7 linked regions of the Tribolium castaneum genome follow. The protein of the gene in region 1 purifies or fractionates together with the protein of each later gene. This does not show direct contact. Links are inferred from orthologs where the notes say so. Each region holds a gene or a part of one and is shown in the gene's direction. Other genes may lie near its edges.

Region 1 (3,066 bases):
TTGTCCACATTGAGAATTTTCTTCCACTGTTCGTGTGCGGTAAACTGGATGGCGGCATGGGGCACAATGCGCACCATGGTGGCACTGTTGCCCCTCCATAGGGCCAGAAACCCGTGCTGGTGGTACGTTTGTCGCAGAAACTTGAACGCCTTGCGAGTTGAATAGGGTTTGTTGCTGCAGGAAGCCAGTTAGAGGGGTACCAAACGTGGGGGCTTACCTGATCTGGAAGTTGATTTTTGTGCGGTCCAAGGGGGCTATCGTGGTCTTGGCGAGGGCCCCCGCTATGGCGCCCGCACACAGACTAGTGAGGACGATCTGAGTGTTGCTCAGCTGACTCGAAACAGGGTCATGGCTTTTACGAGCCATTTTTTGGAAGACTAATCAAGGCATTATTGGGTCAACTGGAACGGGAATGAAGAATTAGAGGAGAGTCGGAGGAAAGGAGGCAAAGTTCAAAGTGTGTTACCTTTTTTTAATTGGACGGGGATTTAACAACATCTAAGCGTGGAGTGATAAGACTATCGCAAATGACGAGCTGTTTTGTTATATAACTTTATTTATTAATAAATTACGTTAGAAATGAGGCGATAAATCGATTCGTTCGGGGGGTTTACAACCCTGATTAAGGGCTCCCACTAATCGGGGCCCCAAACAATTACCTGGCACAATTGGGCGATAAAATCATCATTTTATCAGAGATAAAAATAAATAATTCATTAATGACGAGTCTGTGCCAAATTTCGTGACGCTAACTGTACTTTCACCTGTTTCACCTTGATAATAATAATACAATTGACGTGTAAATATTTACAAGAAAAATGGTAAAAATAACCCGCTAAACCCACCCCAAACCTAATCAAGCTTGTTTCAGGCCCGCTACTTCAAGGAGCAAGACATTGACGGTAGGTACCCCCGTGATAGCCCCCCAAACTAACTCGTAAATCTTGTAGAATTTCGCGAGTGTTTCTACTTGTTTGCGCGCTCGGGGCACATCAAGTCCCTGGACGAACTCACAGTGATAATGAGGAGTCTGGGGCTGTCGCCCACCATCTCAGAGCTTGCGGGTTATTTCAAGCAAAAGAACGGCAAAATGAGCTTTGCTGACTTCTTGGAGGTTATGCATATTCACTCACGGGTGGAGAACGTGCCCAAGGAGGTGGTGGACGCCTTCAAGGCTGGGGACCCGGAGGGGAAAGGGGTGATTCCGGCCAAGCAGCTGCGTCACATGTTGCAAAACTGGGGCGAGTGTCTTTCGGCCAAGGAAATTGATCGGATTTTCAGAGAGGCAAATGTTAATAACAACAGTATGGTGCGGTACGAGGATTTTGTTAAGATTGCCTGTGCACCAGTGCCGGATTATTACTAGAGGGGGCTTACCCTAACACAGTCTTTTCCACGAAATTATGTAAAACACATGTCACAAATTTTTATTTTCGGATTTTCGCACTGGGGGGTTGGCAATGATTTTTCGGTTTGGTAAAATAGAGAGCCGGCAATCAACCCCCGCACAGTTATTTATTCTAACGCCAATAAATCATTAATTGACCACAATCCTTGTTTTTTTTAATTACGGTAATTTTAGTCCAAGAATCACAAAAAAACAATATGCGCCCTAAAAAATCAGACACCCATCAACTTTTTATACGTCGATGGTGGATGGAAATTTTGACAATTGACACAATTGTCGCTCGATTCCAACCTCACTTTTGCTGGTTAGCGTTGTGTCAACGTTTTTAGTTTATTTGCGATTTTTTGCACACAAAAACAACAACCATGTCGACCGCAATGCCCATAAACCCCAAACCTTTCCTCAACGGCCTAACAGGCAAGGCTGTGATGGTAAAATTGAAGTGGGGGCACGAATATAAAGGTTACCTTGTCTCAGTTGATGGTTACATGAATTTACAATTAGCAAACACAGAGGAATTTATTGATGGGAATATGACTGGTATGTAACTATGCTTTGGAGGCGGACCCCCTTGTGTAACATTTTTTTACAGGTAACTTAGGGGAAGTTTTAATTAGATGTAACAATGTCTTGTTCATAAGAGGGGCTGAAGAAGAGGACGAGGAGGGAGAGACGAAGGATTAATTATTTAATGTAAATTCAAGTTTAAATGTACGATCGGATACTTACGTAAATAAGTATTGTAGATTTAATTTTTTACCAAATAAATCGTGTTAAAGTACTTGTTTTTTTTTCTACATGTAACGTTACGATTGTCTACCACAAAAAAAATACACAAACTGTTACGGATTATAAACAAGAGAACTTGCTTTTGAAAAAAAATACAAAAATATATTTATTTGTTTAACATTAAAGGACGCTATAAAGTGGGGGATACATACAGTGTTCTATAAATAATTATAATGGAATAAGGAAATGATAATTAAGTACCAAAAATGTAAATTAAATCCTTGTAGTTAACGGCAAAACGAACAGATAGCAGCACAACTGAAGAAAGTTCCCCTGCACTTACAGTTACCTCTCATACACCTGCTTTTGCATTTACCCGAGAGGGAGCCAAAACATACTTTATATTTTAAAAAGCATCAATTTAATTTAATTTGATAACTTTGGCACACATTGGTCACAAGAAAAATTAAAAAAAAATTAAGTGTCATCAAATGAAGAGTCAAATACTAAAAATATTTTTTGGGCCGAAGCGAAAAAATTCAAAAACCCTTTTATCAGCCAAAAAAACTGTGGATAGCAACACAATACCTAAAAAATATATAAAACTAAAATTATTGGTCAATATTTTCAGTAAAATTACAACGCTGGCTTAAATAATTTCAATTTCAAATAAATTTAACAGTTTATCCATACTTTTTGTATACAGCGAGTTCGATAAATGGACTGCCATCGCTTTACTGCGAACTCACAGGAGTCAGAAAAGTTCACTGAACGGTAAGTAAAAGTAATATAAAAATTCAAAATTTATTAATTATTTATTCATACTAAAAGTGAAAAGTACAATTGCTACAGTTGTTAATAGTAATACGACTCGTTTGCGCACAATTAGAACTGAATCAGTTGCATTAGTCACAGAACTCAGAGGCCGT
Region 2 (5,031 bases), on another chromosome or scaffold:
AATGCCCAAACTTTTTTAAATTCCACAGTGAAGAAAATGTATTCTAAGACCCCTTAAATTCGGAACTGTTTATGATTCATTCTGGATCTGGAATCTATTCACTAAACTGAACTGCAACAGTTCCTAAAACTTAAAACAGAATCCCCGCCTTATCGTATGCCAGTCTTTAAGTTTTTCAAATTGTCCGTTATTTCTGTGTTATTTTGCGGACGATTCTGAGCCCAATCTAATTCTCCGTTAGGGAGTAACTTTTCAGCACTCGAGTGTTGTTAGAGCGACTAAATTAGGCCAAAAGTTGTGCCCATTTGTGATTATAGTTGCATGACGTTTTTTTTAATAATTTTGGATTTTTTTTTACAAAAAGTCAGTAATATTTATGGTTCGATGAAAGTAAACATGATTGTTAATTGCACTAGCGGCTAGCCCCTGCCGGTCTACAAATGTTCGCTCAGTCGAAATGTTGCGAGCGAGGTCGGAACAGTACGAACGGAGACCATAACGGACTTCTCATTTCAGCTGGGCATATTGGAATAGTGGTTTTTATGGAAATATGTTGCGCGTGGCTGGGGCTTCGCCCCAGTTAACTAAAAGGAAACAAACCCCACGACCAATTAAACTCGAAAACGTGGAACTCGAAACGTGGAATAGTGTTTTTTTATGGAGCTAGGGTGGCGTACAGTTCATAAACATAAACACTATTCCACGTTTCGAGTTCCACGTTTTCGAGTTTAATTGGTCGTGGGGTTTGTTTGCTTTTAGTTAATTGGGGCGAAGCCCCAGCCACGCGCAACATATTTCCATAAAAACCACTATTCCAATATGCCCAGCTGAAATGAGAAGTCCGTTATGGTCTCCGTTCGTACTGTTCCGACCTCGCTCGCAACATTTCGACTGAGCGAACATTTGTAGACCGGCAGGGGCTAGCCGCTAGTGTTAATTGCTTTCATCGCGAACAGACGCCTCATAAATAAAATCAGTATTTTGCGGTTTAAAAGTTATATTAAATATGCAATGTATTTTCAACTAATTTAGTAGCACATTGTTCTTATTTCACTATTATTATTTCAGTGAGTCCGTTAAAGACGGTAACAGAAGAAGAGGCCTCAAAGCCAGGTGTATGCATTTTCCTTTTTTTTACGTTATTCTTGCTGGACAAATTAGTTATTAATTTGACTAATAATTAGAGCTATCCTTAAAATTTGTAATGTGTATTGCTGGTTGCATTTTATAGGCGTAAAATTATGTTTCAACATTTTGTAACGTAATATTTGTAATATGAATCTATACTATTGTGTTACGCTTAGGTTTGACCATTTCTCTTATTTATTCTCTGTTTCCAAGCTTATGGAAATGCCAACGTCCCCTTTCTGTGGTATTTATAAATTACTCATGCACTTTAATGCGACTTTAGCATTTCCGTAGTTTTGAAACAGAGAATATCGCATTTTCATTTTTTAGAGAAAAATATAGGACAAATTGGGATTTTCTGTAAAAGCACAGCTATAAGAAAAAAAATCTATGTTAAATTGAAACATAGAGTACCTCAAGTACAAACTACCACGTGTATAATCTTTTTTATTGAAATTTGCAGTTTTGTGCAACTTGTGTCGAGTAAATCAACAGTTTTTGTGAAATTTTCTTTACAATGTTTCCATTTTCCCGCCGAAAGCGCCAACGCTCCCTCTGTAAACAATAGCCGGCATTAACTGCGACTCCATCACCGTTGGCCTGGCGATTCGATATTCCGATGTTATTCCTAGGTTATTTTTGAAATAAAATTACCACTAATCAGCCACTAATTTGCCATTTCGATCACATTTCCCCGCCACCGGAATGGACACCGAGTAAGTACCACGTCCCCACCGCCCCCAATCCGCCAATCTCTCATCTAACCTTAATTCGCAGACCCAAAGGTGAAGTCCAGCCGCCCGCCACCAAGCCCACCTCCGCCAGCCCCCCTAAGAAAAAACACAAGAAAGACCACAAACACAAACACAAAAAGCACGTCACCGAAAAACTAGATAAAACTAAAAAGACCAAGAAACGCAAAAAGCACAAACACAACAAACAAAGGGACATGTCGGAAGACAGGCTTTCGACAAAAAGTGACAAACTAGATCGGTATACCCCCGAATTATCGCCTAAGTCAGCAACTGCAGTATGTAAGAAAAATGTTAATCATATTATTAATGGTAAATCTTTGTCAGGGACCCCAAAAAACAAGGACCCGCTTAAAACTGACACTGATGAGGTTGTTGCTTTTGTGGCGCGCGGTCTCACCGACACGCACTCGCTGGAGGTGATCTCCTCCGAGAGCGAGGACGGCGTGCCGGAGACAGAGTGCGATAGCGACGCGATCGACGTCAACGTCATCGAGGCCGACATGGACCTGGAGGAGCTCATGAAGCAGAAGGAGCTGCTCCAGGCCGAGATCGCCAAAGCGGAGCTCGAAACGACCAAAAAGAACGGAAAAGACCCGAAAATTGTTGACGAAATCATCCTCTTGGACGATTCGAGCAACGACGGGGACGTGGTGGTGCCTGTGAAGAAGCCCAAAAGGTCCCACAGCAGAGAGCGCAGAGTCGTCATTGAGCGCAAAGAGCATCCAAGAGAGGATGTGCGAAGGCATAGAGACGACAAACACAAAGTGTACGAGAGATACGGGCGAGATAATTATCACAGGACCAACCACAGGAAAAGTCCCGAGCGGAGGGAGAGGTCCAGGTCGCATATTTATGACAGGGATAAGCGACATGTGAGAGATCACAGGTCGAGGGAGAGACATAGATCGCGGGATCGGCGATATGATCATAAGGATTATTATCATCGGGATTATCACAGGAATGATACGAGGAAGGCGAAGGAGAGGCATAGAGGGAATAGGGGTGAGAAGCAGGATAAGTACAAGGACTCCCTGAGTGAGGGACAGAAGCATGGGGTTAGCAGTGATAGCGATATTGATGTTAATATCGATCTGGTGGACGATGAAGAAGATGAGCAGAAGATTATTGAGAAGAGGAGGAAGCAAAGGGAAGAGTTGTTGAAGGTAAGTTTTGAAAAAATGTCATAATTGTACAATCTGAACTTGTTTGTTATGTTTGAAAAAATCAATAAATAAAGGAAAATTTAAAAATAATAAAATATAATAAAAAAATGCTTGAATATGTATTTTTTTAACTGTACTATTCTGAGTTTCTTTTTGTTAAAAGTATTTTTTGTTGTAAAAGAATTGGAGATTTGATCAGTTTAAAAGGGAAAACACTTGAAAAGATTCAAAAAATATTAGTTCGAAGAATTTTCTAACTGTACATGAAAAATATATGTTCAATATCATGAGACTAATTTTTGAATGTTTATTTTTCGAAGATTTTGTTATGTAACATCTAATATTTTAGTATCGTTATTTCGACTATTATAATTATAACTATTAGTATATTAAGGGAGGAAAAACATGGATTCTCTCCCGAAATTGAGAAAATGCGACTTTTTTTCAGTGTTATACATTTTATTACATAGCTGAGTTTGTACACCATAAAACTTTACAGCAAATAATCGTGCTAATGTGGGGGTCTAAAGATATTTACGATATTGGTCGGTCCATCTGAAAGATTTTACATGCTGAATGATTTGCTTGAAGGATTTTCAGTTTGGGGTAATCAAAATAAAATTTTATGGTGTTCAAACTAAACTTTTCAACAATACTTATGATTTTTTCGGCGTTTTTACCAAGAATACCGTTTTTCACCAAGGAGAATGCAAGAGAAAAATACTTTTCTTTCTCGGTAGGAAATGACGTGCTTTCGTGGGGTATTTGGAGGGTGGAAAATGATTTTAATCGAAATGGCAAAAAATAGTTGGAGCATTTTTTGTGTCTTTCTGATTGATAAACTAATACAATCTCATGGAAAAAATGTATTCTAATTGGAATATTACTGTTCAAAACATAATTATTTGGCCCTTCAGCTTCATTAATTATCATGATCTGCCTTTTAATCCAAATTAAAAAACTGATAAAGCCTACTCTAATTATAAATTCAAATGATCACGCAGTATTACAATTTTGAAAATGCTTTTTAAATTATTTCGATATACATTGACTTACTTACTCCTTATAACAAAAAAGATAACATAATCAATAAAGTATAAACACTCTCGGGTATCTAACGTTAAACATAGGATCGTTTATCCAGAATAAAGGCAAAATGGGATTACAAACAACAGTATCGGGCAACATACGTATGAATTAGTGTCAAAAAACACATCATGAACATTCTTACGAGACGATAACAGTGATAATTGATAAACCTAAAGAATTATTTCTGTTATAAAAAATGTTGAATTTGAAGCAAATTATATGAAGTTGTGGTTATTGTCATCCGAAAAATTGTTTGTTTTGTGTTTACTTGCCCTTTTTTATTACAAGGAAGTGTAGACAAATTCTGAAAAAAATTACATGCAAAGAAAGAGAAAAATTTTATTTCTGTGATTATTAATTTTGTAGAAATACAGTAAAATATACTTTTAAATGTTGAAAATAACTTAATTAGTTCAAAAAGAGTGGTCTTTTTCAGTGTTTAATCACGTGTTTGAGTCTTTAGGTAACTTTTTGACTCAGCTTTCTGGAAGATTTTGCTAAATCGGGCAATAAAAGAATCTCTAAATAATTTGGATGGTGAAATTTTCGCAATTATTTTTTGTTTTTTTGGGCCATTTATTACCTTTTTTAATCTAAAAACAAAAACTGTTAGTTAGGTCAAAAACTGTGTAATTTTTACATTTTTTTGCGCATTTAAGCAAGTGCTTGAACTGAAAATTCAAGTTCTGCCACAGTTTTAAACATTTTGCTATTAGATACGTATTTACTTGGAGGAATTTCAGCAAAAATAAACATATTGGGTGGAAAGTGTTATTATTTTTTAATTTCCTGTTCATTTTCTGTGGATATTTATGAAATTTTAATAGTTTTGGTAGTTTTTATGGTTGTCCTTCCATGAACGTAAAATACGCCAAACTGTAACCAAAACACGTGTT
Region 3 (4,840 bases), on another chromosome or scaffold:
AATAATATGGAAAATAAGGGCCCCATCAATGAAAACACGCGACTTACTTTCTTTTGGACCATTTTTCGAGTGAAATTTAACAAAGATGACTGTAGATAATTCGAATATCTACAGAAATACGCAAATGTGGCCTATCTCTTGACAGACGACACTTGGAAAAAGATGGATGATTAGGTTAGCAGTGCGCAGGTGCGACGATGAGAAAGGCGCCAAATTTGAAAATTGTTTATTGATACTAGCGTCATAAAATTACAAAAAATACGGAGTAACACTTCTACTTGGAATAACTCGTTCATTGTCGGGTACGGCGTTGAATAATTTCGGTTCGACTTTATCCGTGGTCTGGAATTCCAAAATACTTGCAATGTTGCCACAACGGTAGCAATAATTGGGGGCCGACCAAACCGTTATCAGCTTATCATCAAACATGTATTTATAACCTGAAAGACACATTAAATTATCGCAAAAACGAAACACCAAAAACAACCTTCGTGGACTAACTGATGAGCTCTGCAAATTAATGTGAGCGCGTTAATTTGCATGAATTCATGAGTGACCTTCGCCCCGAACAAGTACCCAGCCCCCCTGGGACTCGACGCCCAGGTGTCCACATCCTCAGGGTCCGACCAAACTAAATCACAGAAGGCACCTTTATGCGGAATTTCCTGATTTCTCTCCAAAGTCCGAATCTGGTCAACCGTTTTAATATCCGGACTTAAGCCCCCATGTACACAAAGCACTTTCTCGTCAATTAACGCAGCGACAGTAAGCAGATCAAACACAGAACAGCAGTATTTCCAAGCGTTAGCATTGCCATATTTAGTCAGACACTCGTCGTAAAAACCGTAAACTTGCGTAATCTGTCGACTCTCATGGTTCCCCCTTAACAAAGTAATTTTGTTCGGATAAGCCGCCTTCAAAGTGAGCAATCGAGTAAAAGTCTCAAGACTGTAATACCCCCTGTCGACAAAATCGCCTAAAAATATGTAATTGGTGTCAGGGACTTGGCCCCCTTGCCGGAACAGCTCCTCCAGGTCATAAAACTAAAACACGCGACTGTAAACTGAGCCAAGGGGACGCACAAAACCCACCTGGCCGTGGATGTCCCCACAGACCGTCACAGGAGTGGAGACGGGCTGCACGTTCGACTCCTCCAAAAGAATATCACATACGATACTGCACAATTTCTTCAAGTCGTTTTCGGTCAAATACTTGCAGTCTTTCACGATTTCAATCCATTGATCCAGCTCTGAAGACATGTTGGTCTAGCGACTTTTCCAACACCAATTGAACGTCAAAGCCCGGCAATAATCAACGTCTTGCGGCAAATAATGCCATAAAACATAGCAAAAAGGCCGAAATTTGGTAAATTGGAGTGAAGATAACCAAAAAGATGTGACAGTTTGCAAGTGACAAATGACAATTTGAAAACCACAGACGTACAAACGGACGAACCCACCGAATGAATTAATTAAATTTCGACGAAAATTGAAAAATTAACTAAACTGAAATTAAATTCCCGGTGTTCGGGCAATTTTCATGTCTTTATAATTTTAAAATAATTGGAAAAATAATTATCTATAGGCGCCAGCCTCGCTCTATGGTTTGCTTTTGACAGTTGACAGTTGTTAGTGTTTTAGGTTAAAAGTTGATTCAAATTACACATTTTGAGACTTGAGTATTGCATTTGTGCAAAATGCTGGCGTTGCAAGGTTACGGAGACAGTGACGAAGAGGAGGTTAAGCCTGAGGAGCCCCCAGCGGACCCCGAATTTTCAATCAAGAACAAACTCCAAGTGTGTGCGGCTCCTGTCGTGTTACCCACGGTGCGTGATCTACCTTATTAGCGTATTTTTACTAAATGTATGCCTTCTAGGGGTCTGAAGAGTGCATCCAGCACGTTGACCCCAGCGCCCAGGAAGTGACTTTTAACCCCAAATACGAGGAGTTGTTCTCGCCCATGGTGGGCCCTGAGAACCCCTTCAAGACCCAGCAGCAACAATGCACCCGAAACATACTTTCGGGTTACGTTGAGCCAGCGTATGTGAACGAGTTCCAATTCGAAAACCAAAGACGGACGTTTAACAGTTTTGGTTACGCTCTGGACCCCACTGTGGGCAGTGCCGCTGAAGGCACCAAAGTTGTTACAACGACTGGCCAATGCGATGATATTGACCCGGAAGCAAAAACAGTGTTTGAATCAACCAAGCTGAGACCTTTAGATAAGAGAAAACGTAAAAAGAATAACGACCCGAGCGATATTGAGGGGTTTTTGGGGCCCTGGGGTGGTTTTGTGGACGAACAAAGGGTCATGAAGCCGTCTGATGAGGAGGCAGCAGAGTTGGACGAATTATTGTCGAAAAAGAACAAGAAGGGGAAACCCACAGAAGACAAACCAATCGAGGAAAAATCAATTTTGCACAGTAAGAGTGACTATTGGGTGAATTTTGCGAAAATTGCTGGTTTTGTTACAGTTTCAGACGCTGTGGATTATCAGGGAAGGAGTTTTCTACATGCACCTCAAGATGTTGGTGTCAATTTGAAATCGGACAGCCCCCCGGAGAAGTGTTTCCTTCCGAAAGCACATATTCATACGTGGTCGGGGCACTCGAAAGGAATTGCGGCCATTCGGTGGTTCCCCCGAACGGCTCATTTGTTACTGTCTGCTAGCATGGACTGCAGAATTAAGGTCTGTCTAGTGGCCTATGATTCTTAATTTGAATAAGATGGCAGCACCGAATAGTTTAATTTCAGTCACAGCCAACTTAATGTTGGTTTATGAAAAGTCACTATTAGCTTTTTCAAAACTATTAAAAAAAATAATCGTATTTTTTGTTGTAGTTGTGGGAAGTGTATAACGAAAGGAGATTAGTTCGCACCTACTACGGCCATAAGCAAGCCGTTAGGGACATTTGTTTCAATAATTCAGGAAAACTGTTTCTTTCGGCCGGTATGTTTATTTATTTTTTTGGTATATTAACAAAAAAAATGTGATTTAGGTTACGACAGGTATATTAAATTGTGGGATACTGAGACTGGTCAAGTGGTCAAGCGATTTTCAAGCCGCAAAATCCCCTATTGTATCAAATTCAACCCTGATAAGAACAAACAACACCTCTTCGTTGCTGGAACTTCTGATAAGAAAATCATTTGTGTATGTGTGCTTTTTTTTCAGTTTTTGTTTTTTTTTAATTATTTATTATAGTGGGACACCAGATCTGGCGATATTGTCCAAGAGTACGACCGCCATCTGGGAGCAGTTAACTCTATTACATTCGTTGACGACAATCGCCGATTCGTTACGACTTCGGACGATAAAAGTTTGAGGGTCTGGGAGTGGGACATCCCCGTTGATATGAAATACATCGCAGACCCGACCATGCACAGCATGCCTGCTGTGACGCCAGCACCCAATGGAAAATGGTTGGCTTGTCAAAGCATGGACAACAAAATTGTCATTTTCTCGGCATTAAATCGCTTCAAAATAAATCGAAAAAAGACGTTTACGGGACATATGGTGGCTGGGTATGCCTGCACACTTGATTTTTCACCAGATTTGAGGTTTGTTATTATTTTTTTAACAGTTGTAGGTTTTAACAATTTTTTTTGTAGTTATTTAGTGTCGGGTGACGCCGATGGTAAGTGCTACATCTGGGATTGGAAAACTACAAAGTTGTATAAGAAGTGGAAAGCGCACGATAATGTCTGTATCAGTGTGCTGTGGCATCCGCACGAGCCGAGCAAGTTAGTGACAGCAGGCTGGGATGGACTTATCAAATACTGGGATTAAGTTTCCAAGAAGGTGTAAATTTTAAGCGAAATAAAATATTTTAATTAGAAGATACGTCCTTTCGCTATGGTCACGTGATCGTTATAACCAATCAACGTAAGCGATTTCGGTCACCTGACTTATGTCTACGGTGAAACGTCACTCATTTTGCGTTTTTAAATGCCTACGTCTAATTTTGACAGCGAGATTTTAATTCCGCCGTTAAAGCATTTAAAAGATTAGAAAAAAATTAGATAAAAAATGATGTTTTTGCAATTGGAAAAAAATAAAGAATGATTATTAGTATTTTATTTAATAGTAATTAAATTTTCTAACATCAGCATTTGCTTTTTTTTCAAAAAATCTTTGTTCTCTAAATCGTCCTTTTAATTATTAATTTTTTTAATTAATTAATTTTTTCTCAAACTGTATTTTTTCGTCTTTGCAACAATCACACATTAAATTCACTTTCAAAAGACAATAAGTTGCTACTTTCGTTCGTTCCTATGTTGATTTCTAAATTTTCTAGATAATTTAAATGGAGAATTAAATACTTTAATGGGACTTTAATTTTTAAATATATATTTAAAATGATGAAACGGGGTGTTCAGTATTATAACTAATTAAGTCCGTTAGACGAGTTTTGAGTTACACAGGTCCGGACTTTGCTGGTATTTTGCAAATTTGTTTTATGGTGGAGTGGCATAGTTTTTTGGTAATGACTAAAAGACAACGTAGATTGTGAAATAACGTAATTAGAGTATGATTTTACAGCATACGTTTCTATTTTCTATATTTTTCTCAAAATTGACACAACTTTTGGTCATTTACTTCAGATTTTTTGCTGTTGAATGACTGTTAGATGCTGATTTCAAGAGAATCAACGATTTTTTCTATCATTAGTTCTCTGGTCCTCCCTAGTTTGTGAATGAATCCAAGTATAAACAACTCTCGCTTTAGTAAACCACTTTTTCCAATCCGTGCCAAAATTTGAATATCATCCAAAGGCCATAAATCTCCCCCACCCGCCCCTCAAAATCCATAAAATTCCTGCTTTCGCGCATGCGCCCCT
Region 4 (4,788 bases), on another chromosome or scaffold:
CACGGGATGCTACAGTGCAACTGTACGGTCTTTCCGCCGAAAAATACTTCAGACAGTTGTTTACACACAAGCAAAGTCTCAACTTGATATCTCGAAAACCACGGGCATTGTGATTTTTTAATAATGTGCCAGTAGACGCACTAAATTGTAGAAAAAAAAAATAACTTCTGAACGCTTTAAGTAAATTGAAAAACTAAATGGATATGTAAAGCCTAAAAATGTGCAAATTTAAATATGTATAAATATACAGGAAGTGTAATTTAAAAAAACGATGTTATAGATTGCGCTGTAAAAATGAAACACCCTGTATAGGGCAACATAATTTTAGAATTTTAGAACACTTTGGCCCCCCATGTACTATGCCCTTTTCAATTTCGATACCATTGAGGGTGTAGGTGTAACTAGTATGCCCATATTAATGACTCACTCTGTATAAATAGTTATTTTGGATCACGTCATAAAAATTTCGAGCAGGTTGATCGCATTTTGGACGTCTACTTTAAAAGAAACGGCCAACGTGAATTCCTAGTGTCATGGAAGGGTTACCCCAACTCACAAAACAGTTGGGAACCTGAAGAGAACATGGATTGTAAAGATTTAATTAAAAAATTCATGAGTAAAGTGGAAAAGGCTAAAGAAGCCGAACACAGAGAGCTACGTGTCAATAGGGCGCACACAGATCGATTGACTCTCCTTTCAGACGGCCATTTGGGACGTCGTTTGAGCAAAAGAAATCTAGGAAAACAAAGGTAATTTCCATAATGATATTGCTCACTTTCTAATTTTTTTTTCACAGGGTTCACTACCACGAAGCTGAATAAAAAACCATGTAGTACAATATCATTCGGAAATGTTCATGTGTTTAAGAGAAATTTTCTTTTCTATCGATAACTGTACTTTTCATTTGTTGAAACAAGGTTTTTTTATAATTATAAGCATATACTTACATAATATATTTAGGGTAGTTCTAATAAAAATGTGCAAACACAAAAAAGTTGTGCTCATGAAATTTATGTTTATTAATTACAGATGCAGAATCTTTGTTTATTTTATAGGTCAGATATTTAAGTATTTCGTGTTTATGTAAAATAAATTTTTCACAAAGATAAGTTGTCTTATTTTACGGACAATAAATCAAGAGGGGAGTGGCTGCTATGGTGGCGCTATAAATCAAATTTAAGCGGTCGCACCAACCTGACTGAAGAAAAACCCTAAAATTCCACAACTGTGCTTGAATTTGGCTCGTTTTGGACAAGTAGAAAGCAATGTTGATACATTGGGGGCAATTATTTGAATATTTCCACTTTTCGGAATGATTTGTTTTGTTTTTTAAACGCGATTAACATCAAATTAATTTAGAATCCCCCTGCTGTCAAAACCCCGGCCATGTTGGCGACGCAGCTTCCGATGGGTGCACATCGTGTAAAACATGTAAAATTCGCGAAATTCCTTCCTCAAAAAATGCTATTTTGAGGCATTTACTATGTGCGAGTTGCCGTGGTACGCATTGGCCGAAATCTACTTGCAGAACCGCGACAAATCCAAAGAAATCTACTGTTTATGTAGCAGGGTTTTTGTAAGGTAGGTTATCGTTCTGTCATCTGTCATTTATTAGTTCGCCATTCAGATTTAAATGCGGCAAAACGGTTTTCTAACCAATTTTTCAACAAAACGATGTTATAATGACCAACAACGAGCCGAAAGCTCCAAATATCCACGATTTTTGCATTATTAAGCCGATAAGTCGCGGCGCTTTCGGTAAAGTGTTTTTGGGGTGCAAAAAGACAAACATGGACGTGATGTACGCGATTAAAGTGATGAAAAAGACCGAAATGGTAAATAAAAATATGGTGTCTCAAGTGGTGAACGAACGCAACGCCCTAGCCCTCACCAAGAGCCCCTTCTGCGTGCAATTGTTCTACACCCTTCAGACGGCATCTTCGATTTACCTCGTCATGGACTACATGGTCGGGGGCGACCTCAAGAGTCTCCTAAGCGTGTACGGGTTTTTTGACGAGCCCATGGCAACTTTCTACGTTGCTGAGGTTTGCCTCGCACTTCAATATCTCCACAGCCATAGCATAATCCACCGAGACATTAAACCCGACAATATGCTCCTCTCGAAAGAGGGCCACGTTAAATTAACCGACTTTGGCCTCTCATGCGTGCAAATCCACCGAGATTTAGAAATTTCCGATTTCGAAAATGCCACTCCTAATCTCTGTACACGCACCCCTGGCCAACTTCTAAGCCTCACTTCTCATCTCAGTTTCGGTTCGGGGAACTCCCGGAACTGCGACGACTCTGGGGCCAATTTAGAGCGACGTTTCGACCACAACAGCTCGGCATTATCAGGAGTTACGTTTTTATCAGCCGATGGGGCTTCACTCCAAGTCACCGAAAACAGTTCCTACCACACGTGCGCAAGCACAAACCCCGAAGACTCCACCACATCTCCCGTGAGTAGACGCGGGTGCTACAAGCTGCGAGGGGGCGACCGGAAGCGGAAACAACGCTCACCGAGTCCGGAAAACCCCCGAAAATCGTACATAAGAACAGGTTTAACTGGCGAAATGGAGATTTTGAGGGTTGACTCGACAAATTCCCCCAAGGGGGTCACTTTTTCAACGCCGGTTTCGAACCCAAAACCCAACAAAGTGATAATCAAAACGACGAGATTTGAAATTCCCAAAGACTCGGATTGCAAAACTGATGAAAATATTGTTAGTCCTATAACACCGAAAACTCCACGAACTCCGTATAGGACTCCCAAGTCGGTTAAGAGAGGGCAGTGGAGCAGCGATCAACGCATTTTGGGAACTCCCGATTATTTAGCCCCCGAGTTATTATTACAAAAGGGGCACAACTGTGCCGTGGATTGGTGGGCTTTGGGAGTTTGTTTCTACGAGTTTGTGACAGGGATTCCCCCGTTTAACGACGAAACGCCTCAACAAGTATTTAAAAATATCCTCGACCACAACATCGAATGGCCCACTGATGATGAAGCCCTAAGCAAAGAAGTGGTCGACGCTATTGAAACTTTACTAACTCCGGATCCCGAAAAGCGACCACAAGCCACCGAAGTTATGAAATTGGAAGTTTTCAAAAACACGGATTGGAAAAATTTACTGCAAGCTCAACCGCCGTTTGTACCTGATCCTTATGACCTGACTGATACCGGATATTTTCAAGCCAGGAACGAGTTACTTAATTTTAACATATCAAATTTTGATTTGTGAAGTTTTATATTGGATATTAATAATAATAAATGTTTTGTTTTTGAAATGCCTGTTTTTATTTATGTGAATTTCCAGACTTAAGGTTTTCACATTATTGTAAATCTTTGCAGAAACAAAGATGACAATCTCAAACGGACCGTTTTCTCATCCGAATTCAGCGCTTCCGAAGAGGAGCTTTTAATCGAACAGGAGATCCCGAGTGAGTGCATTTCACTGCCTCAGATATTAAAATATAAAGTCAAACAAGAGGTAAGTGATAAATAAAAATAATCTAATACCACAATAGATCCAACTTATTTTGGCGTAAATATCACGAAGTAATTACTTTTCTGTAATGTACATAATGTAATTTTTTATCTTGGTTGGCGATTTTTTGTCTTTTGTCGAATTTTTACATTTTGGTTCAAATTCAGTCTAATTAATTAAAATAATTACCATTTTCGATTAAATTTTGTGGTTTCTTTGTTTCTTTCTGACGAAATTGGTCAAAAATATTTCGAAGTTGATGATTTTTCAGGCAACTTGTAGCGAAATTTAAAAAAAAACGTATTTAAAAGCTCACAAAAAATTAACATTCAACGAGTCAACATTGTTGTTATAATTTCGACTTGTTCTTAGCGTAGTTTAGTAATTTCGGTCAGGATTGGTAAAATCTCACAAAAACACATTTGCTGATCTTCAGCAAATTTTTACGTATGTTCTGACAGAAAAAATGTGCGAAATGTTCAAGAACTGTAAAACTGTTAATGTAATAATATAATTTTAGGTGATTTTGCAAAAAAGATCTCGCAAATAACACTGAGATTTTTGTTTAAAACGTGATTAAAAACTACAAAAACCCCATATTTATGATGAAATATTGCTCCAAAACAAATCAAATTGCGTGAAACTGACTAAAAGATCAAATTTCGATGTAATTTGATAATTTTGCAGCCAGTTTAAGCAAGAATTTTTGAAAAACTTAGTTATTATATCAAAAACGTATCTAAGGGCCCTAAAAGGTCAGATAAAGCATTTTTAAACATATTTTATAAGGTAAATTTTCGGCTGGTTCATAACGATATTTTGCGAAAAAATTAAAAATAAAGTCACTTTACACCTAAATTGTAGATTTTCGTTGAAATTCTGTGGTGTATTTTTTTGGTTTAATTTGGACAAGCTGCTATGTATGTTCAATCAAAGACAAAAACAAGTGAAAATCAGAAATTAACATATAAATATCGATCGTAGTTTGATGTCTTTTCAGACAGTTTCAGAACAGAATTTTTTGAAAAACAAACCCAGTTTTACTCGAAACAGGCAAATTTACCATCATTTTCGACATAAGCAGTTGTATATATTTTGTTTATTGGCAACGAAATTTCCAGTTTTCAGCTGAAAAACTCGAAAAAACAAAAACAATTTAGCGATTTTTCGTCCAGTTTATAGTGAAAAAAAATTTGATTTAAAAAAATTGATTTGGCTAAAGAATAATTATTTCATTCAGGAAATAAGATACTGATTTTTTGCCAGAAAATTGAAAATAACGCGTGACTATAAAAGACTGTCT
Region 5 (4,280 bases), on another chromosome or scaffold:
CACTCAAAGAAACCGTGAGCAAGTATTCGTTTTGCCATAAACACGAAACCTATAAAATATTATATACTTAAAAGAGGACGTTAGTGGGCGTGGCTTAACCCACTTGTTGATCTTCAACTGTCGAACCTAGGACGAATTCAGAGACGACTTGTCTCGTTTCCACGTCCCACAATTTCGCAGTTTTGTCCCCACTGGCTGTTAGCAATTGTTTACCGTCGGGACTCCAACTAACCCCATACACGCCCCCGCTGTGGGCGGGGCTTCCCACTTCCCCCACCAAATCGGAGGACGTACCATCGTACAGAAACACCTTACCATCGAACCCAGCCGAGGCAAATAAATTACCGGTGGGTGAATAACGAACGGCTTGCACAAACCTGCTGTGCTCCTGTAAAAAACAATCACGTGACGTTGACCAAAATCATAGCCACCTATGGTTACTTTATGAACAGGTATTTCCCCCCAAATTAGTTTTCGTCAAGGACATTTCGATTATCACGCAATAAAAAAAAAGGTAAATTGGGTCAAAAAAATGTGAAATTGCGTTAAAAGTGGTGTTGGTTTGTCAGTTCAAAGCTAGTGTATTTAATTTTGTGGGTTGGCGACACGAGTCGTGGCCTCCTTACCTGCTTGGTCATTTTGAACTTAAACGGGGGCCCCTCGAAAACCGCAATGGTGTTGTCTTCAGACCCCGTGATGATTCTGAAAGGTCTCGTGGGTTTGAAATCGCAGGAATTGATGGGTTTTGATTGGCCTGAGATTTCGCCAACGGAAGTTCCCGTTTCGGACATGAAAACATGACCGAAGCGTTCGCGGCCTTCGCCAACCACGACCATTCGTTGGTTATCAGGGGACCAAGCGATATCTTTGATGGGCCCCCCGATTGGGTGAAACTCATTTTTAAGGATGTGCTCCTTGTTGACTGTGTCCCAGATTCTGACTTTGCCCGATTGGTCTAGAAATAAAACCAGTTTGTTTTAATTTTCGGGGGCTCCAGTGTGTTGATTTACCTCCAGAGGCGATGTAGAAGCCGCTAGGGGAGTACTTGGCGACGTTTACCGGACAGGAATGTTCCGTGTAGACGTCGGCAATTGCAGGGTTCTGTAACAAACCAATTGGAGTGGGTTTCTAAGGGAGGAAAGGTTTTTTTTACTTGGATGTTGCGAATGATCACGGAATTGCCATTGGTGTAGAGAAAGTTCTTGCCTTTGGGATCCCCGCCCAACACCAGGGGCTGTCCTCGTTGGGTCCGCGGCAAAGTCGCGTAAATACTCTCTGGAAAAGATAAGATAAATTCCATTTCAAAATTAAACCAACCGGAATTACACGGGGTGGCTTGATTATCGCAACCTGTCAAATGAAACAAAAAACGGTCACACTTACTTGATGCAAATGACATTTTCCTGTTTTTTTTATGTGAAAAATGATCCGGTTTGCCGGAAATGGTAAGAATCCTCAAGTGGAACACGGAGATATTGTAGTAGAAAAGTTTACACTACGTGTTGGCAGTTTACGAGAAATTCTCTTGGCACACGCACTGGTTATGAACACTTGGCAAATAATTTTATTTCACAAATTTCGCAAAACCTATTTATCTAGCGGTTATGTTTGCCATAAAAGGATATAAATGGATCACCTCTCGCCCCAAAACGCCTGCGCCACGTCCCCTCCCATACACAGGTTGGCAGCACTGAGTCACGTCAAGTAACTATCAATAAAGCTTGTTTTTAGTTTTCGTATAATTTGAGCAAAACCCGAGCATAAATGGTGTGAAACTGCAATGGCAACGTCAAAAACAACAAACACATACAATCGGCAAAACTGGGAGGATGCGGTAAGTCCTAAACTGGAACTAGTGTAAATCTGATTTAACCTCACTTTAGGACTTCCCGATTTTGTGTCAAACCTGTCTGGGGGACAACCCTTATATTCGCATGGTTTGTATCTCCTGGGCCACAACTCTCCCTGATTTATTCAATAAATGTGATTTCAGACTAAAGAAAAATATGGCAAGGAGTGTAAAATCTGTGCGCGCCCTTTCACAGTGTTTCGGTGGTGTCCTGGGGCTCGTATGCGTTTCAAAAAGACAGAAGTTTGCCAGACTTGTAGCAAGTTGAAGAACGTGTGTCAGACGTGTCTCCTGGACTTGGAGTACGGCCTCCCTATACAGGTCCGGGACGCTGCCCTCAAACTCAAGGATGATCTCCCCAAGAGCGACGTTAATAAGGAATATTATATCCAGAATATGGAGCGCGAGGTTTGTTTTATTATATTTTGCGTCCACGAAGGCAGTTGAGTGCTTTAAAGAGCTTAGTGTTTTTTTATGTGGTAATGTTGCCTCCATGACTCACATCAGCCTTGCCAAATCAAAAAAAAACAAATTCACCACATCCACACCCAGATTTACCCTCTAGATTTGATTTAAATATTTCCGGTTCAGGCTTTTTTAAGCAAATAACATTGACTTTGTAAAAAGCCATTCAATTATCTGAATTTCGACCTCTTATTTTGCAGTTGCAACGGTCGGATACTGGCGTTTTGTCGAATAAGTTGAACGAACCGAATGACTTGCTAATGCGTTTGGCGCGAACAGCCCCCTACTACAAACGAAACAGGCCCCACGTATGTTCATTTTGGGTGAAAGGGGAGTGCAGAAGAGGCGAGGAGTGTCCTTACAGACACGAGAAGCCAACAGATCCTGAAGACCCCCTTGCTGATCAAAACATAAAAGACCGCTACTACGGCGTGAACGACCCTGTTGCTGATAAATTATTGAAAAGAGCGGCAGCCATGCCTGCATTACCGCCCCCTGAAGACAAAACCATCACAACTCTATACATCGGCAATCTTGGTACTCTCACCGAACAAGACATCAGGGACCACTTCTACCAATACGGGGAGATCCGCTCTGTTAGTTTAGTCCCTAAACAGCAATGCGCCTTCGTCCAGTACACGACCAGAGCAGCCGCTGAAACGGCCGCCGAAAAAACCTTCAATAAGTTGATTTTGGGCGGCCGCCGACTTACCATCAAATGGGGGCGGTCTCAAGGACGCGCGGGCCCCGCGATTAACCCGGGACTTGAGGCCTATGAACCTGTGCCAGGCCTTCCGGGGGCTCTGCCTGAATTGAGTAATAATTTCTTTAATCTCGAACCGGGACACATTCCATTGCCGAATATGCCGCCACCGCCGTCTCTCATCGTTCCGCCGATGTTCGGCCCCCCGCCCATGCCCCCATTTTTCTTTAATCCGCCCCAGTTGTCGGCGTATGTCCCCACAGCGGCTTCGAGCAGCACTGTGACGAGTGAGGCGACAGGGGGGCCCTCCAAAAGCACAGTGCATTATCCCAGCCAGGATCCGGCCAGGCTGGGAGCCACGCAGTTGCATGCAGATAGGCAGGAGTAGGTCTTAGGTCTTATGAGGTGTACAATTTTTTATCAATAAAAAATTATGACCAGTGTTTTGTGTTTTTTCTTATTCCCCGTTACTCATTGGAAGGAAAAATTTGTGAGGATAATTAATAATAATAATTGTTTGGTTAAGTTGGGGGGTGACAGCTGTCATTGCACATTCGCAGTTGGTGGACTTCGTGCGACAGCGTGACAGCTGACGTGTGCTGACACGATGTCAAATTTCGTAAAATTTCGATTTTTCACCTAACCAAAGAGCAAAATTCTCCGAATCCGCGGCAAGTTTACGTGAAATCGAGCAAGGTTCAATGGTATGAGGTCAACTGGGTATGTCATCTCCGGTACAAGAGTCGGACTGTAACACCTCGCCAGCACCTGACCCAGGGACCACTCACAATAATGACCCCGACGTTGTCGCGACAGATTCAGATAGCGACACCGATAATCCCGAAGCGAGCGTGGCAGACCGTCCCACGTTAACCCTCAAAATGTTGAACTTGTGCAAAGAATTCCTGATCATGATTATCATCGCGGTGGCCTACGCTGCCCTAACTAACGAGTAAGTGGCCCCACGGCCCAGGCACGTCTAACGCGGCTTTCAGGACCCCTCCGAAAGTGAGCAAAAGTCCAGCTGCGTACCCGTTTTTCCCTCCAAATTCCAAAGTGACGGACTGGTACCGGGGGCAGATCACTGAGGCGATTGAAGATGCGCGCTCGAGCGATATTGCGTTTGTCATGTTTTACGCCCCGTGGGATGCCGAGAGCCAGACGGCGCGCAAGCAGCTGGAAATCGCAGCGCAGTATATGCAGAAAGAGGTGGCTTTTGTGGCGGTTAACTGCTGGCAGCCAGGCAGCGAGTGCAAAAGGCAG
Region 6 (3,208 bases), on another chromosome or scaffold:
GCGAGAGAAATTATAACATCGGTTGCTTCAATATCATCTTGCATAATCTCTATTTTTTTCGTAAAAAATTTGTCGAGAATGGATTCGCTGCACATAAATTTTGCAGCGTAATATTTGGATAAATAAAAGACCGTTTAAAAAATTAAACTTTATTAGAACAAATTACAGAGCAAATAGATAATGCGTGTCTGGTAGTTTTCCCCCGAAATTCAGCTTCCCTGCTTGCGGACAGTGAATTCTTCTCATAACTTCTTTAATTTCATTGACACTAATGGGGGGCTGTCCACTGTAAACCCTGCTATAGTCTGGATTGTTACCACTAGCCCCTATCCTATAATCCCCATTAAACATCGTAGAAGTGTAGTAATTGCCGTATAAATGATTCAGTGGATCACTCCCACATTTGCCCTCCATCCTCACAAGCAACGCATAATCGGTTATCTCAGCAACTGTCTGGTACCCCAAATACGACAAAACCACCATAGCATTAGTGCTGAAATTAATTTCCTTTTTCGGGTCAATCCACTGTCTTAATTTTTCGGAGTTTCGGGCCGTGATATCTCTACTGCAAAACGAGGTGGCTCTCGCTTTGCAAAACTCCAAATACCTCTTCTCGTCCAGGGCTTGAGATATGCGATCAGCCCTCAGCATCCTCGACTGTTTGACTTCATCAACTTCGGATAAATCGGTGAATTCTCCCGTCTCGTCTATGTACTCGATAAACTTCATTAGCTCGTTCTTCGGTATGGGATCTCTGTCAATTTCAATGACCCCCGAGTTCAACGACTGGAGTTGCTGTTTGAGTTGCTTGTTTTTCAAATATTGGAAAAAGCGGCGCATTTTGTGCTTATTGTGCCGCATTAGGAACACCAACTCCTTGCCTTTGAGGTTCTTACCATCGGAGTACTTCAGCGCTTCCTGGACGATCATGCGGAGCTGCTTCAACACGATGCTCTCCACCAAACGCACCGTCTCGGGGTTCGGCTTGTGGCTGTCGCCGAACCCAAACATCATCAGCGAGATTTCGTTACAAAAGGTTGTTTTTTGGGAATCCATCAGTTTTTGTCAACAAACACCTAACCTCAATTGACAACAAATATTTTCCCCACAGAATAACAGGTTTTTTTCCCCAATCAAACACAGCCGGTTCAAAATACCAGCCCGTGATTGGTCCTTAGCTCACAACGCCGCCAAAAGAAAATAAAAATCCCCAAGTTAAACGTCAAGCGCCATAGTTTGTGGTTACAATAATTTTGAAAAATAAACACGTTTTGCGAAAAAAAGTGGAGGAAGAATGGTTGTGGTCACGTCGTTTAAACCACCAGAATCTCCTATAAGACTCGAGCAGTCAAACGTTGTGGTGATTTTGGATAAACGTGATCTGGGCACCGGAACCCTATTTGTGAGCGAAAGGTAACACAATTATGGCAAAACCAAACGAAAAATACATTGTGTTAAATTACAGGACACTCAGTTGGCAAAAAGACGGGACTACGGGTTTTTCAATTGAATATTACAACGTCTCGCTCCATGCGGTGTCCAAAGACCCCAACGTGTGCGAGAGGGAGTGTATTTATATTTTGACTGACCCCCACATAAATTTGTTTGGTTTGTAATTTTTTGCGCAAAATTTGGTTTATTGTGCGTCGTTTTGTAGGAGAAACTGACCAAAGGCCCGCAAATGATGACAGTGACGTTGAGTCAGAGCCAGACCTCTCGGAGCTGATTTTAGCCCCCGAAAACCCCACACATGTACAAAGTATTTACGAGGCTATAAAAATTTGCCAAGAACTCAATCCCGATCCTGCCGATGTTGACGACGAGGACGATGATAATTTATTCGCGGACGCAGAAGAAGAAATGTTTATAGAAGCAGAGTCTGAGCAGATTGGGGACGCAGTTGTCGACAGTTTGGCCGAAAGGCTACAAAACAACTCAGTCGACGTCCAGTACAGCTACCGGAATGGCAACGAGGATGAGGATTTTGAAGATGCAGACTGATCCCTGAATTATGTTAGGTTTTGTATCTTTAATTTTAATCCATTTTTTATAAAACACTGACTAGTGAAAAGGTTTTATTCCAACAGAAAACAATGTTGAACGAAACAAAAAATGAAATTCCTTGCTTCTCCTTCACAATTCTCAATTCCGATAGACTAAAAACGAAACAATCTATCTATTTCTGAAACATTCTGAACTTCTTTGACCCTTAATCGTATTCAACCATTTCATCCTGAATTCCTCCCATTATCTAACTCTCTTAGGTCCAAAAATCAGGTCGGCGTCGGGCGCCCCCTTGGGGTGCTGGTATTTCTTGCGTTCGCGGTTCAAGTTTTGGGTCACGGGCCTGTTCTGCTGCTGCATCATGTCTTGATAATCCTCCTCTTCAAACCGTTCCGTGATGTTCAGCGTCAAGCGCTTCACTCGTTCCTTCTCCTCCTTCTGAGCCAACTCCTGGTCCCTCAGATTCTGAGCGAGTTCGGAGTTGATATCAGCCTCGAAATTTTTATATTGCTGCTTGTTTCCTTTGCGGACCATTAGCACGAACCCGATTTTGTTGGGTTCCGTTTCAGGGGCGTCCTGCAACTGCTCGTAGGTCTTTTTGTTCGATTTGAGGACAACCGGAACGGAAATGTCCACGTTTCCGGCCTTCACCGGCTCGCGCATCCGCTCTTGGATGTTCTCCGAAACCATTTTATCCAAAGCGTTTAAAAAGTCCTCGTCCTCGGGGCACTCGACCTTGCGGGGGCCACTGGGAATTGCCAGCGATTCGGACACTTGTTCTTGCTCAGCTTCGCTAACATCGGGTTCCCCTAAAAAATAATTAAAAAAATTGGAAGATTTTAAAAGTGAGACGGACCTTCATCGTCCGAGCCTTGTGTGTGGTCCACCGTTTCGTCCTCAGTGGCGGTATCATCAGTAATAGGTGCCGTGACTTCGGACACTTCGTCCTGTTCTTCAGTGTCGGTTTCAGCGATCGTTTCCAGGCCGTCTTCCTCAACTTTATTTTCGTTCAAATCTCCAGTGATTTTATCTAATTGACTTAGTTTTATTTCGGGATTTTTTAAAACAAAGCTTACCAAAGCCCAAAGTGACGCGAATATTATTTAACTCGGTTTGTGTTTCTTCGTAGCTTTGACACAATTTAATTTTTGGTCTCAGGGTCGTGAGAGTGTCTTTAAAAATGTGCTCCAGTGTTGGAGGAAAT
Region 7 (3,926 bases), on another chromosome or scaffold:
TTTTTTATTATAAAAGATACACATTTAAGACACACATTATGCAGAGAATATAACAATGTTATCAGCGTTTTTTTTAATTATTTGTTTAACTGTAACAACATAAAATTGAATTTTTTAAATAGGAATCATAGTTGGCTATGACATTTTCGAAAAAATTTTTTTTTCTGAACTGAAAACAATATAAATACAGTTTGATATTTCTATATACTTTTAATAAAAAACATATTGAAAGCAGTTGGCCATGGAAAAATTATTTCACATATAAGCTGTGAATAATCTAGAAATTTTGTGAACGGTTATTAAAGTAAAAAATTTGAAATTATCAAAATAAGTTATGTTAAAGTTATTTTCAATAGAACAAATATACGATCGTCGCAGATTTTAATTACATAAAAAATGTTCAGAAAACTGAAAACGATGTGTCACTACTATTTAATAACACTTTCTTATGATTTAGTGAAGTGCAATGGCGATGACGTTGATAATGTTATGTATTTTTTACTACAAAAGAGTAAAATATTTTGTAAAATAAATATTGACAGGCAATACGATTAATAAGATTTTTCTTTTTTCCACATTTCATGTTTAATTAAGAAATAGAATGACAATTTTAGCTTGCCATTTTAAATCTAAAAACAAATAATTTTTCTTAATCGCAAAAATTTGTTCTAATAATAATTTATTATGCTGTTTTTGAATTAATTAGTGTTTAAAAAATCATTAAATTATAAATACTTGTTGGGTAATATATTTTTTCATAGTTTTTATTGAAAATCGAAATTTTTTTCATGGCCTACCATAAAGAAAAAGCGAAATGTTATGTTTTCCTTAATATTTAAAAATAATGTATTACATAAATAGATATATCAAATCAGAACAAAATAAGCTTTTAAAAAATACTGCAGCCGCCTATGATTCTTATTTAAAAAAAAATAAAACTTTTTGTTATTACAGTTGAACGAAATATAAAAAAAATCGCTGACAACATTATTAAATTCTCTCTCTGTAAAACGTGACTTTGTTATAATAATATGTGAAGTCTTTGTTTTAAATAAGTATCTTTTATAATAAGGAAGATATGAATGTTTTAATATTCCACTAAAATGACAACTTTTTCGAAAGTCGAAAATAAAAGACTATAACAGGATGCGATTTTGGGTAAAATAATTCTCTCAAAAAACGGAGCCGCGAATGTGACTCGTTTTTCTTTAAATCTTTTACTTTCGGAGTTCTCCTAGTCGGACATCCAAAATGCAGCACCCTGTATATATCACGGCTGTCTTGATACACGTTATTCATTGAATAATTTGATTAATTGGCACGTTTTAGGCCTCAAAATCGAGAGTTTCATCGGTGGGAGGCCCCTCGAAGACGACTTGAAGAAATCGTCCAAGTGTCACATCGCAGTGGGGGCCCCCGGCCGAGTCAAACACTTGCTAAAAATGGGGGCCCTCACTACAAACCTCGTCAAACTATTCGTCCTCGACGAAGCCGATAAATTAATGGAGGAGAGTTTCCAGTCTGATATTAACGAAATTTACAACAGTCTGCCCCCTCGCAAACAAATGATAGTATCGAGCGCCACCTACCCACAAGAACTTGACACTTTCCTAGCCAATTACATGCAATCCCCGACTCACGTGACGTCCGAAAACGAGACCCCACTCCTACTCGGCCTTAAACAATTCGCAGCCATGCTAAGGCCCGGCCTTAACTCAGTCCAACAAATGAAAATAAAAAACGATCTTTTGATAACAATCCTAACGAAAGTTTCGTTCGTCCAATGTTTGGTTTTTACGAATTACCAATCACGGACCGAGACAGTTTCGAATTATTTGAACCAGAAGGGCTGGGATTCGGTTTTTATTTCAGCGGCGCAGAAACAAACCGAGCGGTTGGAGGCGATTGACAATTTGAAAAAATTTAAAAATCGCATTTTACTTTCAACTGATTTGACTTCACGGGGTATTGACGCCCCCAATGTCGATCTTGTGATAAATTACGACTTGCCTTGCGACGCTGTTACGTACTTGCACCGCATGGGGCGCGCTGGTCGCTACGGTTCGGGGGGACTTTGCATTAATTTCGTGTCAGAGGGGCCCGAAGTGACCAAATTGCAGCACATTCTGGGGGCCATCGGGGGGAATTTATCCATTGCCAAGCTGCCCCCATTGGAGGGGGTGGATTTGTGGCAAGTCGATTTGAAAACACTGGAACAAATAAGGGGGGTCGTGCCGTCTGACACTTCAAATGACGTTAGCGAAAATTTGAAAAGTGAGGTTATGGAGCTAAAGGAGCGCAAGGATGGGAAGAAACGTAAAAGGGTTAACCCGGAAGCTAGTCCCGATTTGCAAAAGGAGAAACGCAAAAATGATTTCTCACAGGACACTTTTTGTAAAAATCGGGGGCTTCTTAACTTGACTAAGGTTTTACTAGATCCGGGGATTAACATAGATGGGGACATTACCGACTCGGTCGATAATTACCTTAAAATTTTGAAAGTCGATGACTTGGAGGAGGAAGTCCCGGTTGTTACTCCCCAAGTGGAGGATTTTATGGAGGGAATTTTCACGGCGGCGTATGACTGTGCTATTGATAGTGGGGGGAGGAGGACTTGGACGGAATATTTGCCTTTGGAGGAGCTCGAAAAATTCCAAAACCGTGGTAAAGAACTTGATGTTGAGATAACAAATGATCTGGAGGAGGAGGAGGAGGAAGAGGTGGAAGAAGAGGAGGAAAAATGCGAAGAAGAGGAAGATTTCGAAATGGAGGAAGCAGTGCATAGGAATGACGTATCTCTCGAATGGGCTCCAGTGGTTCAGGAAGGTTCTGGCAAACGTTTTGATCAATTTTTCGAGGACTGTAGTAACGTTTTGTGGCAAAATGGTTTGACTTTTGAAACGGTTGAAAGTTTCGACGATTGGTTCTACCACTGGCAGGAGTCTCTCCAATCTGTCCGAAACTACGTCCAGCAGAACATTTACATCGAAGAAATGAGTAAATATCAAGAAAGCAGGAGACGAAGTAATAAATAACGGATGTTTCCCTGTCCCGCCTTGAGCAGTTCCTGTCATAATAAATAATACAAAACCTGTTAAGTGTGTGCGTCTTATTTTCGTGATAGCGGTTCAGTGACTCTATAACAAGAGCAATGCAAACAATAATTTTATTTTTCTGAGAACAACGAGATAATAATTCATTCGGGGTCGGCAATAAGTTGCGCAAAATAAAACCGGAAATGCGGTAAATGCATAATTAGCGAGTGCATTAACCATCTGGTAAAAGTGCATAAAACAATGAAATGCAAATGATGCGGCGGATTTTATCGGAGGTTAGATGCAATGTCGGCGTTTGATGGCCTAAATCTGAGCGTTTTTGTCGTGTCCGTTGCATGTTTCGAGGATTATCTGGATCTTAGCACGCCAGAACGAGCGCCCCAAGGTGAATAAGACGACGGCCTCGGATCGTGACACGGTGGAGAGAAACGGGAATTAGGGCTTGGGAACATTGGTAATAATTCGGAAATTATGTCACAACTATTTTATTTCATTTGTACACAAAAATAATAGTATATTATGATACGAACGAGTTTTGTAAGACGCATTTTGTCGCACGCACGAATTTAGGAGTAAGTGCGACAAAATGCTTTATAAATGTGGTAACATACAGTATTTTTAGCAAAAAAGTTCAAGTTCGAAATTTAAGGGATTTTGTGACAGTTGACTGCACTTGCGCGGGTCATGAAATTAAATTAATAACTTGGCCATTACTTTATTCGTAAAAATGTATTCTGAAAGTGTCCAAGACGTTTTGCAATGGACTATGGACCCCTCAACCAATCCATACGCGGAATTTAAAAAATGGACTATGAAGAATAGGATCCCAAATTACTTACTTCACTTACTTGCATTTGCTTTTGAACAGTT

What was found.
Region 2: the proteins of SmF (region 1) and Prp4k purify together in Homo sapiens (co-immunoprecipitation; 3 studies listed by BioGRID and IntAct, with this or other methods). This does not show direct contact. The link is inferred for Tribolium castaneum from reciprocal best matches to the Homo sapiens genes SNRPF and PRP4K.
Region 3: the proteins of SmF (region 1) and pre-mRNA-processing factor 17 purify together in Homo sapiens (co-immunoprecipitation; 3 studies listed by BioGRID and IntAct, counting the BioPlex papers as one, with this or other methods). This does not show direct contact. The link is inferred for Tribolium castaneum from reciprocal best matches to the Homo sapiens genes SNRPF and CDC40.
Region 4: the proteins of SmF (region 1) and Tgs1 purify together in Homo sapiens (co-immunoprecipitation; 3 studies listed by BioGRID and IntAct, counting the BioPlex papers as one, with this or other methods). This does not show direct contact. The link is inferred for Tribolium castaneum from reciprocal best matches to the Homo sapiens genes SNRPF and TGS1.
Region 5: the proteins of SmF (region 1) and pre-mRNA-splicing factor RBM22 purify together in Homo sapiens (co-immunoprecipitation; 3 studies listed by BioGRID and IntAct, counting the BioPlex papers as one, with this or other methods). This does not show direct contact. The link is inferred for Tribolium castaneum from reciprocal best matches to the Homo sapiens genes SNRPF and RBM22.
Region 6: the proteins of SmF (region 1) and icln purify together in Homo sapiens (affinity purification with mass spectrometry; 3 studies listed by BioGRID and IntAct, counting the BioPlex papers as one, with this or other methods). This does not show direct contact. The link is inferred for Tribolium castaneum from reciprocal best matches to the Homo sapiens genes SNRPF and CLNS1A.
Region 7: the proteins of SmF (region 1) and probable ATP-dependent RNA helicase DDX20 purify together in Homo sapiens (affinity purification with mass spectrometry; 5 studies listed by BioGRID and IntAct, counting the BioPlex papers as one, with this or other methods). This does not show direct contact. The link is inferred for Tribolium castaneum from reciprocal best matches to the Homo sapiens genes SNRPF and DDX20.

Annotation. Positions count from the first base shown.
Region 1 is NC_087398.1:3,705,974-3,709,039, reverse strand, and holds SmF (small nuclear ribonucleoprotein F), read left to right. Parts: upstream 1-1,657; 5' UTR 1,658-1,773; coding exon 1,774-1,948; intron 1,949-2,000; coding exon 2,001-2,092; 3' UTR 2,093-2,189; downstream 2,190-3,066. Other genes in the region: mitochondrial coenzyme A transporter SLC25A42, read right to left, coding at 1-174, 218-366; calmodulin-like protein 4, read left to right, coding at 819-821, 872-902, 951-1,366. UniProt on the Homo sapiens protein: Plays a role in pre-mRNA splicing as a core component of the spliceosomal U1, U2, U4 and U5 small nuclear ribonucleoproteins (snRNPs), the building blocks of the spliceosome.
Region 2 is NC_087394.1:6,855,804-6,860,834, reverse strand, and holds the start of Prp4k (serine/threonine-protein kinase PRP4 homolog), read left to right. Parts: upstream 1-1,661; 5' UTR 1,662-1,833; coding exon 1,834-1,844; intron 1,845-1,905; coding exon 1,906-3,046; intron 3,047-5,031. UniProt on the Homo sapiens protein: Serine/threonine kinase involved in spliceosomal assembly as well as mitosis and signaling regulation. Connects chromatin mediated regulation of transcription and pre-mRNA splicing.
Region 3 is NC_087400.1:5,273,191-5,278,030, reverse strand, and holds pre-mRNA-processing factor 17, read left to right. Parts: upstream 1-1,547; 5' UTR 1,548-1,696; coding exon 1,697-1,825; intron 1,826-1,875; coding exon 1,876-2,422; intron 2,423-2,473; coding exon 2,474-2,688; intron 2,689-2,840; coding exon 2,841-2,949; intron 2,950-2,998; coding exon 2,999-3,153; intron 3,154-3,204; coding exon 3,205-3,560; intron 3,561-3,611; coding exon 3,612-3,789; 3' UTR 3,790-3,839; downstream 3,840-4,840. Other genes in the region: RpL7A (large ribosomal subunit protein eL8), read right to left, coding at 48-62; PpV (serine/threonine-protein phosphatase 6 catalytic subunit), read right to left, coding at 250-440, 488-1,043, 1,092-1,259. UniProt on the Homo sapiens protein: Required for pre-mRNA splicing as component of the activated spliceosome. Plays an important role in embryonic brain development; this function does not require proline isomerization.
Region 4 is NC_087394.1:22,602,000-22,606,787, reverse strand, and holds the start of Tgs1 (trimethylguanosine synthase), read left to right. Parts: upstream 1-1,356; 5' UTR 1,357-1,483; coding exon 1,484-1,581; intron 1,582-3,349; coding exon 3,350-3,488; intron 3,489-4,788. Other genes in the region: chromobox protein homolog 1, read left to right, coding at 475-749, 797-821. UniProt on the Homo sapiens protein: Catalyzes the 2 serial methylation steps for the conversion of the 7-monomethylguanosine (m(7)G) caps of snRNAs and snoRNAs to a 2,2,7-trimethylguanosine (m(2,2,7)G) cap structure.
Region 5 is NC_087399.1:5,881,949-5,886,228, reverse strand, and holds pre-mRNA-splicing factor RBM22, read left to right. Parts: upstream 1-1,644; 5' UTR 1,645-1,780; coding exon 1,781-1,834; intron 1,835-1,883; coding exon 1,884-1,937; intron 1,938-1,993; coding exon 1,994-2,257; intron 2,258-2,514; coding exon 2,515-3,405; 3' UTR 3,406-3,460; downstream 3,461-4,280. Other genes in the region: flr (actin-interacting protein 1), read right to left, coding at 1-49, 104-388, 627-955, 1,011-1,101, 1,154-1,275, 1,384-1,399; thioredoxin domain-containing protein 11, read left to right, coding at 3,740-3,969, 4,013-4,280. UniProt on the Homo sapiens protein: Required for pre-mRNA splicing as component of the activated spliceosome. Involved in the first step of pre-mRNA splicing.
Region 6 is NC_087394.1:28,288,743-28,291,950, reverse strand, and holds icln (methylosome subunit pICln), read left to right. Parts: upstream 1-1,278; 5' UTR 1,279-1,294; coding exon 1,295-1,413; intron 1,414-1,465; coding exon 1,466-1,608; intron 1,609-1,657; coding exon 1,658-2,001; 3' UTR 2,002-2,071; downstream 2,072-3,208. Other genes in the region: uncharacterized protein LOC103312536, read left to right, coding at 1-111; transcription initiation protein SPT3 homolog, read right to left, coding at 163-1,056; Upf2 (regulator of nonsense transcripts 2), read right to left, coding at 2,248-2,813, 2,861-3,034, 3,081-3,208. UniProt on the Homo sapiens protein: Involved in both the assembly of spliceosomal snRNPs and the methylation of Sm proteins.
Region 7 is NC_087394.1:23,203,690-23,207,615, reverse strand, and holds the end of probable ATP-dependent RNA helicase DDX20, read left to right. Parts: intron 1-1,329; coding exon 1,330-3,035; 3' UTR 3,036-3,098; downstream 3,099-3,926.